Linked DNA regions of Saccharomyces cerevisiae S288C. The protein of the gene in region 1 interacts with the protein of each later gene in a biochemical or structural test. Each region holds a gene or a part of one and is shown on either strand. Other genes may lie near its edges.

Evidence for each region. Proteins that work in one complex are often made in the same cells at the same time.
Region 2: of the proteins of ERV1 (region 1) and CYC1, one has a biochemical effect on the other in vitro, tested with the Saccharomyces cerevisiae proteins (2 studies listed by BioGRID, with this or other methods).

What each region holds. Positions count from the first base shown.
Region 1 is NC_001139.9:537,129-544,855, reverse strand, and holds ERV1 (flavin-linked sulfhydryl oxidase), read right to left. Parts: upstream 1,304-7,727; coding exon 1,218-1,303; intron 1,135-1,217; coding exon 651-1,134; downstream 1-650. Other genes in the region: protein-degrading AAA family ATPase MSP1, read right to left, coding at 1,565-2,653; YGR027W-A (gag protein), read right to left, coding at 7,477-7,727. UniProt on the Saccharomyces cerevisiae protein: FAD-dependent sulfhydryl oxidase that catalyzes disulfide bond formation. Required for the import and folding of small cysteine-containing proteins in the mitochondrial intermembrane space (IMS).
Region 2 is NC_001142.9:523,139-529,637, reverse strand, and holds CYC1 (cytochrome c), read right to left. Parts: upstream 3,304-6,499; coding exon 2,974-3,303; downstream 1-2,973. Other genes in the region: ISY1 (Isy1p), read right to left, coding at 234-941; UTR1 (NADH/NAD(+) kinase), read left to right, coding at 1,162-2,754; ANB1 (translation elongation factor eIF-5A), read left to right, coding at 4,257-4,730; TAH11 (Tah11p), read right to left, coding at 5,776-6,499.

The DNA.
Region 1 (7,727 bases):
GAATGATCATGTTGAGTTAAAAATAGAAGTGGCTCCTAATATGACCGTTGATGCGATGTAGTCTGCACTTTTTACAAAGTAAATGGCACTGAGAGACGTTTTTGCCAAACAAGTACTAAATAAATTGTAGAACGCAGGACAGGGAGGATTTTCACAATTCATAACTAAAATAGTATGCTATAAGAGTCACATTTCACAGATATTTCTTCCGTGATAGTTTAATGGTCAGAATGGGCGCTTGTCGCGTGCCAGATCGGGGTTCAATTCCCCGTCGCGGAGATTTTTTTCTTTTTCTGCTCTTCTTAGAAGAGGTTAATACCACTGATACGGCTAATTTCAAGTTCATTCTTGATGACCTCTAAACAAGGGCTGGGAATACTCAAAAGACCAGAGGCACTAGCTGCAAACATGACAATTCTTTGAAAGTAAACTTTTTAGCTAAATACTGACTAAATATTTTTATACATATAAAACTATTAATCCTAACATATATTAGTAGAAAAGTCATTCATCTGGAAAGTTAGAGCTCAAGCCTAAATAAAAAAGCCAACATATGACTGATCAATACGATTGGAGTGTTATATACACGAGAATCTGTAAATATGTATAAATTGTCTTTTATGTGTTCCTTCAGAATTCTGAGATTGTACTTATTCGTCCCAGCCGTCCTTCCATCTTTTTTCCCAGAAATTACAGTCAAATTTGGGCTTCCTCAATTTCTTATTGACTTTATTGTGGGCTTCACACATCCACCTCCCAAGTTCTTCTCTTGACTCAACTTGTGGTGCATTTTCTCTGATATATTTTTCAAAGTCTTTAGCACACCAGTTGCAAGGATAAATATGTGAGAAGATATTCAAGAACTGTTTCATTTCACCCTTCTGTTGGTCTGTAGGTTGAGCAGGATAGCTGGCAGCTACAGAGTGTAACAGCGTCCATGAAGATCTACCTAGTTGCTCTACGTCAGGAGGGTCAACCTTCCTGTATGTTCTTGAGCCAGGCATCAACTCTGAAGCTTCGCCAGTGAGAGCCCCCGTACCTGCTAGTTTACCGTTAGATGAGAGGTTCTTCAGGCCATTAGATATCTTCCCGGTCACGTACTGAAAGTCAAGTAGGGTGTTACATGATCGGCAACTATTATAGAGAATTTGTTAATAAAAAATCACAAGCTTGATTGGATCAGTAGATCCTGAATTGCTTTGCGTAATCCAACATACGGTTTGCCATCTTCGTCATATATTATTTTCCTCCCACTTAAGCCTTCTTGTGGTGGATTATCCGTCATTTTATCTATTGCTTTCATGAAGCTTTGTATTCATTGAAAGTTGAGTGTTTTTGGCTTTTCCCCATCTTTAGATTTAGATTATGACTAAACCTGATAGAATAGTTGCCGTAATAAAAGCGGCCCAAGAAAAATAACTAGTATATAATTATAAAGCAGAAATAAAGGAAGTTATGTACAGGAGTATACTGCATATACACATATTATGTGAAAACTAGCTTATCTGATATGATATGATGCGTGAATAAAAAGCTTTCTTCTTTTTTTTCTAATTTTCCTTCCTTAATCAAGAGGTTGAGATGACAACGTACTTGTAGCATCCATTCTTAATTTTTTTGTAAAATCTTTTGTCTTTAATGGTCTTATCTTCAAGGAAGAAGTATCATTAACATCGATTGTACCACTATCAATGAGCTGCCTCTTCTGTTTTATGTATTCCTTTGCTGCATCTAAGGCCGCTTCTCTGCAAAGCTCTTTCAGGTCCGACCCAGAAAATCCTTTGGTATTGTCTGCAATCAGTTGCAAGTCGAATTCGTCTTCGTCTAGTTTAGTGTCTTTTAATAAAACACTTAATATTTTGTAACGTTGATCAGAACCAGGCAATGAAACAAGAAACCTTTTTGGTAACCTCCTCAAAAACGCATCATCTATGTCATTTATCCGATTAGTAGCACCGATAATCATAACCCTTCCATTATTCAATAAGCCATCCCATAAAGTCATGAATTCAGCTTTTAAGGTTGCCGTAACTTCATGATCTGTAGAAGACCGTTCTCTAAGGAATGAATCAATTTCGTCAATGAATATTATACAAGGTTGTAACTTGTTCGCCAATGAAAACATTGCATCGACTATTTTGTTAGATTCACCATACCATTTATCCATTATAGATGACATTCTTATTGAGATAAAATTAGCACCACTTTCCTTGGCTAGGGCCTTCGCCAACATGGTTTTACCACATCCTGGTGGCCCATATAGCAAGACACCGCTAGGTGCTTGAAGTAAAGGGCTATTAGAATATACTTCTGGCATCATCAAGGGATATATGACACTTTCATGTAGATCTGAAATAAGCGGGTCTAAGCCACCAATATCCTGGAATGTAATATTTATTTCATCTGGCGTAACGATAGAAGATAATATAGTCCTTTCATATGCATCTAATGTTACTTCTGCCAATGCCGGTGATCTTTTCACCAGCTTTTCCCATTGCAAGGACTGTTTGGCCTTTGATTCCCTTGATTTACCTGATAACGGTCCTGATTCAACATCGTTGAGTAGCCGACTGACCAGGTAGTATAATGATATGCCAGTCCCAACTAGGACGGAAAGATCAGTAATCGTTTTTAAATCAAATTTGCGAGACATTGGGCTTCCTTTCTTTTGAATCCTTATCTCTTTTCGTTCTTGCTTCTTCCTTTTTTGAAAACGTGTCAAGACGCTTCTATAATATAACGATTTTTAGGAAAGCTAAACTATCGATTTCCGCCTGTCCAGTAAATAGAGATTATATGGTGTAACCTGTTGTGTTGGACAGATATAAGTCATTAAAAAAATAATAACTTCCTTGACCAATTGTATTGAAATACTTCAGCCAAGAATTTATATTGACTTTACTACCTCTTTTTCAAGAGGTAAGAAAAAGAACACTCCGATACGGGGAGTCGAACCCCGGTCTCCACGGTGAAAGCGTGATGTGATAGCCGTTACACTATATCGGATGGTAATCTGTGAAAATTTCTGGCTTCAAATAGCTAAATAGCAATGTTTTTAAAGAGCTGATGCATTTATTAGAATAAAATTTCAATGTCATCCAGTGGCTGGTATTTATATTACTTGTATTTTATCATATACGGTGTAAAAAAGATACCATGAAGATTGAGAATGAGAAATATGTGAATGTTGAGATAATTGTTGGGATTCCATTGTTGATAAAGGCTATAATATTAGGTATACAGAATATACTAGAAGTTCTCCTCGAGGATATAGGAATCCTCAAAATGGAATCTATATTTCTACATACTAATATTACGATTATTCCTCATTCCGTTTTATATGTTTATATTCATTGATCCTATTACATTATCAATCCTTGCGTTTCAGCTTCCTCTAACTTCGATGACAGCTTCTCATAACTTATGTCATCATCTTAACACCGTATATGATAATATATTGATAATATAACTATTAGTTGATAGACGATAGTGGATTTTTATTCCAACATACCACCCATAATGTAATAGATCTAATGAATCCATTTGTTTGTTAATAGTTTGAATGTTTTTATCGGAAGAGGTTTGGTCATTACGTCTGCAATATTCTTTTTGGTTTCGATATAGCATACGTGCAGATGATTTCCTGATACTTCATCTCTCAATCTCATTGCTTTAGTACCAAAAAATCTGTTCCTAAATTTCTCTTCATTATTGGATATAATTATACTGATTGTAGATTTACTGTCGGTTAGTAATCCTTTGGTAATTGGTTTCTTGTCAAGTTCTTGTATCAGGTAACTTAGATTATTTAATAATGGGACAGATTCACTTATCGCGTGTATTTCTGCTTCCGTAGTTGAAGTACATGTTAATGAAGCCTTGGTGGACTTTCCTCCAATTACCTTTCCATTAAGTAAATATATGTTGCCAATTTGTGATTTATAATACGGTTGGTTGCCATACGAGGCATCGCTTATAACAACTAATTTATTTGTTGGCTTAACAGGTTTGCTTTTGTGCCATATTAATTGCTTATCTCTCGTATTCCATATGAACTGTATCAATTCATATGTCATATCTAACACTTGCTTGGACGGAAATAGTATATGTTGTGCAAGTGTGTTGATGTAGTATAATAGGTCAAATCTAAATTTATATCCAACATATGATGCTAGACCTATCAGCTTTTGCATTTCATGTACCTTCATTTTGTAATCATCTTCTTCTAGCTCTAGTTCTTGCTGGTCTATATATAGACCTGGTTGACCTGGAGCGCTAAGTTTCCTTCCTTTTGGGTTCAAAGGTACGTTTAGTTTGGGTATTTTTTCAGTTAATGAGTTTTCCATACCCAATTTCATGTATTTACCTCTTTGGTATTTGATTTCCAAGCCAAGAATGTCATATTGAATTTCCTCATCACTTTCGCCTAGATTTATAATCTTGGTGTCGTATTGCATCTTAAGCTTGTCTATAATTCTTTTGTTTGAATTTAGATTTTTGCTAAACAATACCATATCATCTACGAATAAACAAATTGTCACTTGACTGTTTTTAAATACGCATGACCATCCACGAACTTCTTCCATACCACATTGTTGTATCAGGTATGATTTGATAGTTTCGTACCAGTTCGCTCCACTTTGTTTCAATCCATAAAGTGATTTCTTCAAACGTATCAACTTATCATTCATTCCTAAATGTGGTGGAGGTCTTATGTATAATTCTTCTTTGATGTCTGCATACAAATATGCCGAAGATATGTCTAATTGTGTAATATAGTAGTTATTGTCTAATGCAAGTGACAGGGATGTCATTAATGCATAGTGATGTACGGTATTGGATTGCATGCCTGAGTCGTAAGTGTCAGGATGCTGAATATCACCTCTTGCAACAAATCTAGCTTTATGAGTACCGTCACGTTTCTTGTTGAAGATAAACATTGAGTTTATTACTCTTTTAGGGTCTATTTCTTTTCTGTCATAATATTCGTCAGTGTCCCAAGTTTTCATCTTCAACAGTTGATTGACTTCTTTGTGGTATGCCTCGATATATTTTTCTTTTTCTTTAATATCTTTATTATAGGTGATTGCCTCATCGTATCGTAAGGTTGTCCGTATTGGTTTGATTGATTTTACTGCTTTTACAGCTGCAATCAGGTGAATTCGTTTCTTCGATCTCGGAGGTTCTAAACTACGCATATTCTTAGTATTCCATGTGTCTCGTGATACCTTAATTTCAGTTTCATTATCTTCTAATGATCTTTTCTTACTGTTGATAGTAGTATAGGCATTAGAGTCACCAATACCACCCAAACTGGAATTAGTTTGACGAGAATTGATCGGTGGGAGTTCTTTAAATGGGTCAGGGAATTCGGTAGGAGATTCTGGAGGTAGATCAGGGAGTGGGAGATCAGCGATGATAGATTCCTCGGTATTCTGTTCAGAAACAGTAGTTGGCGTTTTGATAGGAACAATATTGTGCGATGAATTATTTTCCGGTGGAGAAGCATCGATTGAAGGTGAACGGTGTATAATCCTTTTCTCAGTCTCTTGGTCACTTATCTGCGGAACAGTTTTGTTGTTGGTACCACCCGTACTGGATATTGGTACGTTTGTATGATTAGTCTCATTTTCACTGTACGAGTCTGAGTGTCTGAAATCTTTAGATTTACTGGCGTGCGACGACTCATGTGTGTTAGATTGGGACATGGGAGCAAGTAAAGGAACATTTAATTTATGCATACCACCCGAACCGGTACTCTCGATATTGGAAATTTGGGGGGTGCTAGATCTCTTCTTTGATGGAAGAATATTAGATTCAGATATGTTGGGGTCAACTTCTCTGGGTGCGCGAATATTGGTTTTAGAAACACGTTTCGAATCTTCAGTATGAGTTGACGGAGGTGTGGAATCGGTTGGACTCACAGCTTTTGAAAGGACATTTCTCGGTTGCTCAGGATGTAGTTCAATGTCGGATTGGAAGTCATGGTCAGATTCTATGTTAAGATCATTGGATTCTTGGATCTCATTTGACGCAATGAACGAATGATATGAAGCAGTTAAACGGTTTAAGTCTTCATCGAAAGTGAGTGCGTCGTAATTGAATTGATCTAATCTGGATTCCTTGCCCTGAAGAATAACATAGTTAGTTGTATCTACTGTCTTCTTTAAGGATGGAAGATAGATGATATATCCATAAGAGTTTCGAGACGGATGTAGAGCGTAGCCTGGGATGCCACGAGGATGTATTTTGGAGTTAGGGTTGTGATCATTGACGATAACAGGTTGACCGAAAGGTAACAAAGTACTGATATCAAGTCCTGCCAAGCCAGCATGTTGTCTTGCAGATTTTTTGCTTTTAGGTGAAGCTAGTGAATTTCTCACAATAGTAGAAAATTCGATTGCAGAGAACCATAAATGGTTCGGTAAACCACTACATTGCAGTTGAGTACGGCAGTCATCTAATAAGGTACGGTTTAGCCGTTCAGCGACTCCATGTGCTCGGGAATCCGCTGTGGTTGTATAGCATGGAGTTATACCATTTTTTTCAAGGAATTTATGGAGAGTTCTGTTAGTATACTCAGAACCACGGTCCATTTGTATAACCAAGACACTGGCCTGAAATTGGTTTTTAATGAAAGCTAGTATCGTGGTAAATACATCGAGGATAGAGTCCTCGCGACGGTCGTGCAATGGATAAACCCAACGGAATTTTGTTGTCTCATCAGTAAATGAGATGAAATAGGATGGTGCACTTTTTGGTAGGTTGTGAACTGGACCAAATATGTCAGTATGTAGGTATTGAAAGGGTTCGTATGAATTTTGGTATTTTAGTCGTGAACCTTTGATATGTCTGTGTTTGGTGCTTTTGCCGATTAAACAATCAGGACATTGATAGTCAATAGCACTAGACCAGTCGACATCTGATTCGTTAAAATACGTGATGGTGTTATTTTTAAGTGAGTATCGAATTGTCTGTGCATTGGCATGCGCAAGCATTCGATGAATGAAAGGATAAGGATATTTGCGTGTACTTTCACTTGTATGGACATTATTGATGGTGGGTACGGAGATATTTGATGGAAGCAAGTACCTTTTAGATACCCAGTAAAAGTCTCCATATTGTACGATAGGTGCAAGTACAGTGCCGTCAGATCGTTCTAAGACGTTTTTGGTAAAGCATGCTGTGATATCTACTGCAGCCAATTCATTCAAACTGAGTAAGTCATAGGCTATGTTAGGAGTGTGCAATACCTTTATTGATGTTTTGGTGTTGTCCTGGAAGTGAAATTGTAGGTCACCAATAGCGTTAATTGGTATATTTCTTTTTTGAGCATCAACTACGTTTATGTCAGGATTAGATGATGCTGAGTGTATGTGATGAGCAGATCTTATAAGGGTTCGTGATGCTCCTGAATCGAGAAGGAGGTGTCCAGGGAGTTCATCATCAGAATGATTAGTGTGATTTACCGTAGATTCAGTAAGTTCCTGGCCTAAGGTGAAGGTCGTGCTTATTGTTCAATTGAATCGGTTCAGTAGTTGATTTACTGATGGAATCGTTGTCCGTGCTGGGAGAGTTATTAGATGTGGATACATTGTGAGCCCTGGCTGTTTTCGATTTCGAATTATTTGTTTTTTGAGGATTCCGAGCTATAACTTTGGGTTTGGTTGTATTCGTATAGCTGCGAGAATCATTCTTCTCATCACTCAGATTTCTCCTGTAATTAG
Region 2 (6,499 bases), on another chromosome or scaffold:
ATCTATGTAATCTACCTAAGCGTAAAAAGGAGATCTTGCCTTCGATAACTAGTACGGTGGAAGAATTACATTTAATAACGAACGGGACAATATGATATCATAGAAGAAAAAAAAATGAGTCCCGATCACTATTTTACTTCATATCTGCAGCTCGGACATGTTTGAAGATTATAATGCTTGTGATGGTCATTCGAAATAGTGCCTCTTCTAAATGTTTGAATAATTTTCCATAGCTAAAGGTTAAGTTCATCCATTAGTTTCTTTTTTCTTCTTTGCACTAACCAATGCTCCATATCTGCCAGAGTTGGTACATGGATTTCTTGTGTCTGCCTTGACATTTCTTCTTCATCTTCATTCACAGGCACATTATAATGTGCTTTCAAAATGGATGTCCAGTTAGCCTCAAATTCGGTTAAGGCGGCTGTGACTTTGCCATGGTAATAAAAATCATTTCTATCCTTCGGTATGCATTTGGTGTTTATAGAACCCCCATCATTCTGCCTTTGAGACTGCTTGAGCCATTCTTTTACTTCAGGCAATTCCAGGGCTCTTCCAAAATATCTCTTACCATTTATCAGCTTTCCTGAATTCATCAGCACATGACTGTCTTCTAACCTTTTCCTCTTGGTTTTTTTTTCCATAAGTGTATGGTCAATGTGCCACTGCCATCTCTTCCATTCTTTGAAAAGATTATTAAGTTCGTCGTTAAGTTCCGCAATCTGCATTTCATTTAAAGACGGATCATATATTCTTGTGCTTTTTTGTTTTATCTCTTTACTTACTTGTCGCTTCCATTCGTTGGCCTCTTTTATGGATTTTACCTTAGACACGTTCCTGGGCCTCTGGTAACGTGAATAATCCTTGTATCCACCTGCCGACTCTGCTTGCTGCTCTTGAAATCGTACCAGAACTGAGTTGGCCTTATCTACATTTCTACTCATTTTGAATGCACAGGTATCTGATTACTGATGTGGTGCGCCTTGCGATATAACGGTGTGTCACTTTTATTTGCTCTTTCATGCATCCTGAAATTATTTCACCGCACTACGCAAAGAGAACGGAGAAAAAGGTATAATAGGGCAAATGATCATTGACATCGTGATCGTAAGCCAAAAAAAAATACAATAGGCTCCCTAAATAAGTAGAGTAAAAGCTCTTGAGATGAAGGAGAATGACATGAATAATGGCGTAGATAAATGGGTAAATGAGGAAGATGGTCGAAATGATCATCATAACAACAATAATAACTTGATGAAGAAGGCCATGATGAACAATGAGCAAATTGATAGAACTCAGGATATCGACAACGCCAAAGAAATGTTGAGGAAAATATCAAGTGAAAGCAGCTCGCGCAGAAGCTCCCTGTTGAATAAAGATTCATCTCTCGTGAACGGCAATGCAAACAGTGGCGGTGGTACGAGCATTAACGGAACAAGAGGAAGTTCTAAGAGTAGTAATACACACTTTCAGTATGCCTCCACGGCGTATGGTGTAAGAATGTTGAGTAAAGATATATCTAATACCAAAGTGGAACTGGATGTGGAAAATTTGATGATTGTTACGAAACTCAACGATGTCTCACTGTATTTCTTAACAAGAGAGTTGGTAGAATGGGTTTTGGTACATTTTCCACGTGTGACTGTTTATGTGGATTCCGAATTGAAAAACAGCAAAAAATTTGCCGCTGGCGAGTTATGTGAAGATAGTAAATGTAGAGAATCAAGGATCAAGTATTGGACAAAGGATTTCATCAGGGAACATGATGTTTTCTTCGATTTGGTAGTGACTTTGGGTGGCGACGGTACTGTTCTTTTTGTAAGTTCCATTTTTCAGAGACATGTACCACCCGTTATGTCGTTTTCATTAGGGTCTCTAGGATTTTTAACAAATTTTAAGTTTGAACATTTCAGGGAGGATTTACCTCGGATTATGAATCATAAAATCAAGACAAATTTACGGTTGAGGTTGGAGTGCACAATTTATCGTAGACACCGCCCTGAAGTAGACCCAAACACGGGGAAGAAAATATGTGTGGTGGAAAAACTAAGCACACACCACATTTTGAACGAAGTGACCATCGATCGTGGTCCAAGTCCTTTTCTATCCATGTTAGAATTGTATGGTGACGGCTCATTAATGACCGTTGCGCAGGCGGACGGACTGATTGCTGCTACTCCGACTGGGTCCACGGCCTATTCTTTGAGTGCAGGTGGGTCATTGGTATGCCCAACCGTCAATGCAATCGCTTTAACACCCATTTGTCCACATGCATTGAGTTTCAGACCCATCATCTTACCAGAAAGTATAAATTTAAAAGTGAAAGTCTCGATGAAGTCAAGGGCTCCAGCATGGGCGGCTTTTGATGGGAAAGATAGAATTGAATTGCAAAAAGGTGATTTTATAACCATATGCGCCAGCCCATATGCTTTTCCAACCGTGGAAGCCTCGCCCGATGAGTTTATTAACAGTATCAGTCGACAACTAAACTGGAATGTGAGGGAACAACAAAAGTCCTTTACGCATATTTTGTCCCAAAAGAACCAAGAAAAATATGCACATGAGGCGAACAAAGTCAGAAATCAAGCAGAACCTTTAGAGGTAATAAGAGATAAATACTCTCTGGAAGCAGACGCTACTAAGGAAAACAACAACGGAAGCGATGATGAGAGCGACGATGAGAGTGTAAACTGCGAAGCTTGCAAATTAAAGCCTTCGAGCGTCCCAAAACCTTCTCAAGCAAGGTTTTCAGTATAATGTTACATGCGTACACGCGTTTGTACAGAAAAAAAAGAAAAATTTGAAATATAAATAACGTTCTTAATACTAACATAACTATTAAAAAAAATAAATAGGGACCTAGACTTCAGGTTGTCTAACTCCTTCCTTTTCGGTTAGAGCGGATGTGGGAGGAGGGCGTGAATGTAAGCGTGACATAACTAATTACATGATATCGACAAAGGAAAAGGGGCCTGTTTACTCACAGGCTTTTTTCAAGTAGGTAATTAAGTCGTTTCTGTCTTTTTCCTTCTTCAACCCACCAAAGGCCATCTTGGTACCAGGAATATATTTCTTTGGGTTAGTCAAGTACTCTGACATGTTATTTTCGTCCCACAACACGTTTTTCTTGATATTGGCATCTGTGTACGAATACCCTTCAGCTTGACCAGAGTGTCTGCCAAAGATACCATGCAAGTTTGGACCAACCTTATGTGGGCCACCCTTTTCCACGGTGTGGCATTGTAGACATCTAGTCTTGAAAAGTGTAGCACCTTTCTTAGCAGAACCGGCCTTGAATTCAGTCATTATTAATTTAGTGTGTGTATTTGTGTTTGTGTGTCTATAGAAGTATAGTAATTTATGCTGCAAAGGTCCTAATGTATAAGGAAAGAATATTTAGAGAAAAGAAGAAAACAAGAGTTTTATATACATACAGAGCACATGCATGCCATATGATCATGTGTCGTCGCACACATATATATATGCCTGTATGTGTCAGCACTAAAGTTGCCTGGCCATCCACGCTATATATACACGCCTGGCGGATCTGCTCGAGGATTGCCTACGCGTGGGCTTGATCCACCAACCAACGCTCGCCAAATGAACTGGCGCTTTGGTCTTCTGCCATCGTCCGTAAACCCCGGCCAAAGAGACCGGAAAGATCGGTGAAAACATCTTGATCTTGCTCCCGGGAATTTTAGATTCAGGTAGGAAATTGATTACATCAATACTGTTACCCTGAATCATATTCGACGATGTCGTCTCACACGGAAATATAATTCATTTCTTGGTTTTCCAAAAAAATTTTCATTTTTTTTCACTTTTTTGTTTCGTCCTCCTTTTTTTTTTTTTTTTTTTATTTTTTTTCCTGTGTTCACCTTTTTTTTTTTCAGTTGACATCTTTCTGCATTCTTTTCTGTGTTTTTTTTTTTTTTTTTCGTTTTTCCATTGTTCGTTCGTTGCCTGTTTTTTCGCCCTATTGTTCTCGAGCCTAAAAATTTTTTCCTTTCCTGCTTTCCTTTCTTCGTTCAAAGTTTCCTATTCCATTGTTCTCTTTGGTAAACTCATTGTTGTCGGAACTCAGATATATTCAGGTCAATTTACTGTACTTCAATTGACTTTTTTCTTGAAATTTCAACTTGCCTTTTCAACTTGTTCTTCTTTTTTAATCTTATTCTACACTTTAGTTCCCTTACCTTGTTCCTAATTATTGTCTAGCAAAAAGAAAACATACACCTATTTCATTCACACACTAAAACATGTCTGACGAAGAACACACCTTTGAAAATGCTGACGCTGGTGCCTCCGCCACCTACCCAATGCAATGTTCTGCCTTGAGAAAGAATGGTTTCGTTGTCATCAAAGGTAGACCATGTAAGATTGTCGACATGTCCACTTCCAAGACCGGTAAGCACGGTCACGCCAAGGTCCATTTGGTTACCCTTGATATCTTCACTGGTAAGAAGTTGGAAGATTTGTCTCCATCCACTCACAACTTGGAAGTTCCATTTGTCAAGAGAAGCGAATACCAATTGTTGGATATTGATGATGGCTACTTGTCCTTGATGACCATGGACGGTGAAACCAAAGACGATGTCAAGGCACCAGAAGGTGAATTGGGTGACAGCATGCAAGCTGCTTTCGATGAAGGTAAGGATTTGATGGTCACTATCATTTCTGCCATGGGTGAAGAAGCTGCCATCTCCTTCAAGGAAGCTCCAAGATCTGATTAGATATTTTAGATTTCTATAGCTTACAAAATACGCGATGTTTTTTTGATCTAGAAATCTTATTTATACATTTTATATAATATTATAATAATCATAATCATAATTATTCATCCTAACTAACTTCGTTCTGTTTCAGCTACGAAGTTGCCTTCATTATCGCTACGTTCGTGTTAATTGGTGTTTGATACCATAGTCACTTATGACGACGTGCAGAACTTTTTTTTTTGACGGATATTTTCCCCTCAATATGCCGAGGATGATTACTTTATAATTTGCCTTCTTTCGGTTCCTTCTTCTTTTTAATTTAGCTGACGGGAACATGTGTATATACCCCAGAAGAATTTAAACAGAAATTTTTTTGAGCATTTTACGAAAATATTAAAAACTAGGGCTACAGATATCAGAGAAAAAATTACTTATATGATGACAATAACTTAATATCACAGTCACTATCGTTCTCGCCTTTATATGCGCAGTGACAGCATTCGACTTTTCCTTGGAAGGGACCCGATCAACGAAACTTCAAAAAGAGTAGAAGTCAAAATATTTTTTGCACGACGAGGGTGACAGACCGTGCTATGTCCACAAATGAGGCCCTGCTTTCCCAAGATAAATTGCGTAAACATATAATTGTTACAAATCCAAGGCTCTGTGATTTCTTCACCAAGTGTAGTTGTGATGTATGATGTGTAGGATAAGTAATGACCGGTAAATCAAGCTGGTAAAAAGTCCTAATAACAAGCCCGAATCTGGAATAATGGTAATATTCCCATGCCAGGTGGACAGTGTTGTCCTTAAACAAACTCAAGAGATTAAAGGCAACTTGGCCGAGTGGTTAAGGCGAAAGATTAGAAATCTTTTGGGCTTTGCCCGCGCAGGTTCGAGTCCTGCAGTTGTCGTTATTTTTTATTTCCCTTTCTTTTCGTACATACACAATGCACAGTCTTCAAAGTAAAATACCAACGTATGTATCAAGATCAATTTTTTTTCTTTTTTTTTTTTTTTTACCGTAAATGTACGTATTCTACCTTATATCTAAAAATATTCTTCAATCTTGTTGTTTTGATTTGTGGATTTGCAACAGCTTAGAAAATCTGTTTTTATCCAAACTGTTCCATCTATAAACTTTTAACCCACCATCCACTTGATGAACAGATATGTCCATTGGTAGGATACCTTGTAGCCCAGCTAAAATTTCACTTGCTTCTTTTGTACCGATAGGATTATTACTATCTTGTAAACTATCTACGATTAGCGAGCTTAGATATGTCTCTGTATAAGGCTGGCCCCTGGTCAGCGAAAAAAGAATATCAAATACCTGAGTCATTTTCATCGCTAGAAACTGCTGGTAACGTTTTTGCCTTTGAGAAAGCAATGCGGCCGAACGTCTCTCTCTTTCACGCAGTCTGTCCATAAGGTTTGCTTGCGAATCAGGCATCTTCTCTTTGTACATGAAATTTTCCTTACTATTCGCCAAATATCTTGAGTTATTCAAGGCATTAGCATTAGAGCTCTTCGTTTGCACTTTACTGCTCAAGACTGTTTTAGAATTAGAGCTGGACCTTCTTTTATTTATTTTGAAAGCGGGTACATCAGTCATAATCTCATCCTTGGAAGCTATCACTTGTTGGTACCACGACTCTGCCCTTTCCACGAATGCCAAAGTCCTAGACTTATTGGTCAACGTTGTTAGATTGTCTCTTTTGGGTAGATTCATGGTCAGCTCCCCTCTAGAGTTCAGTTCCACTACGTATGCATCAGACCAAATGGTC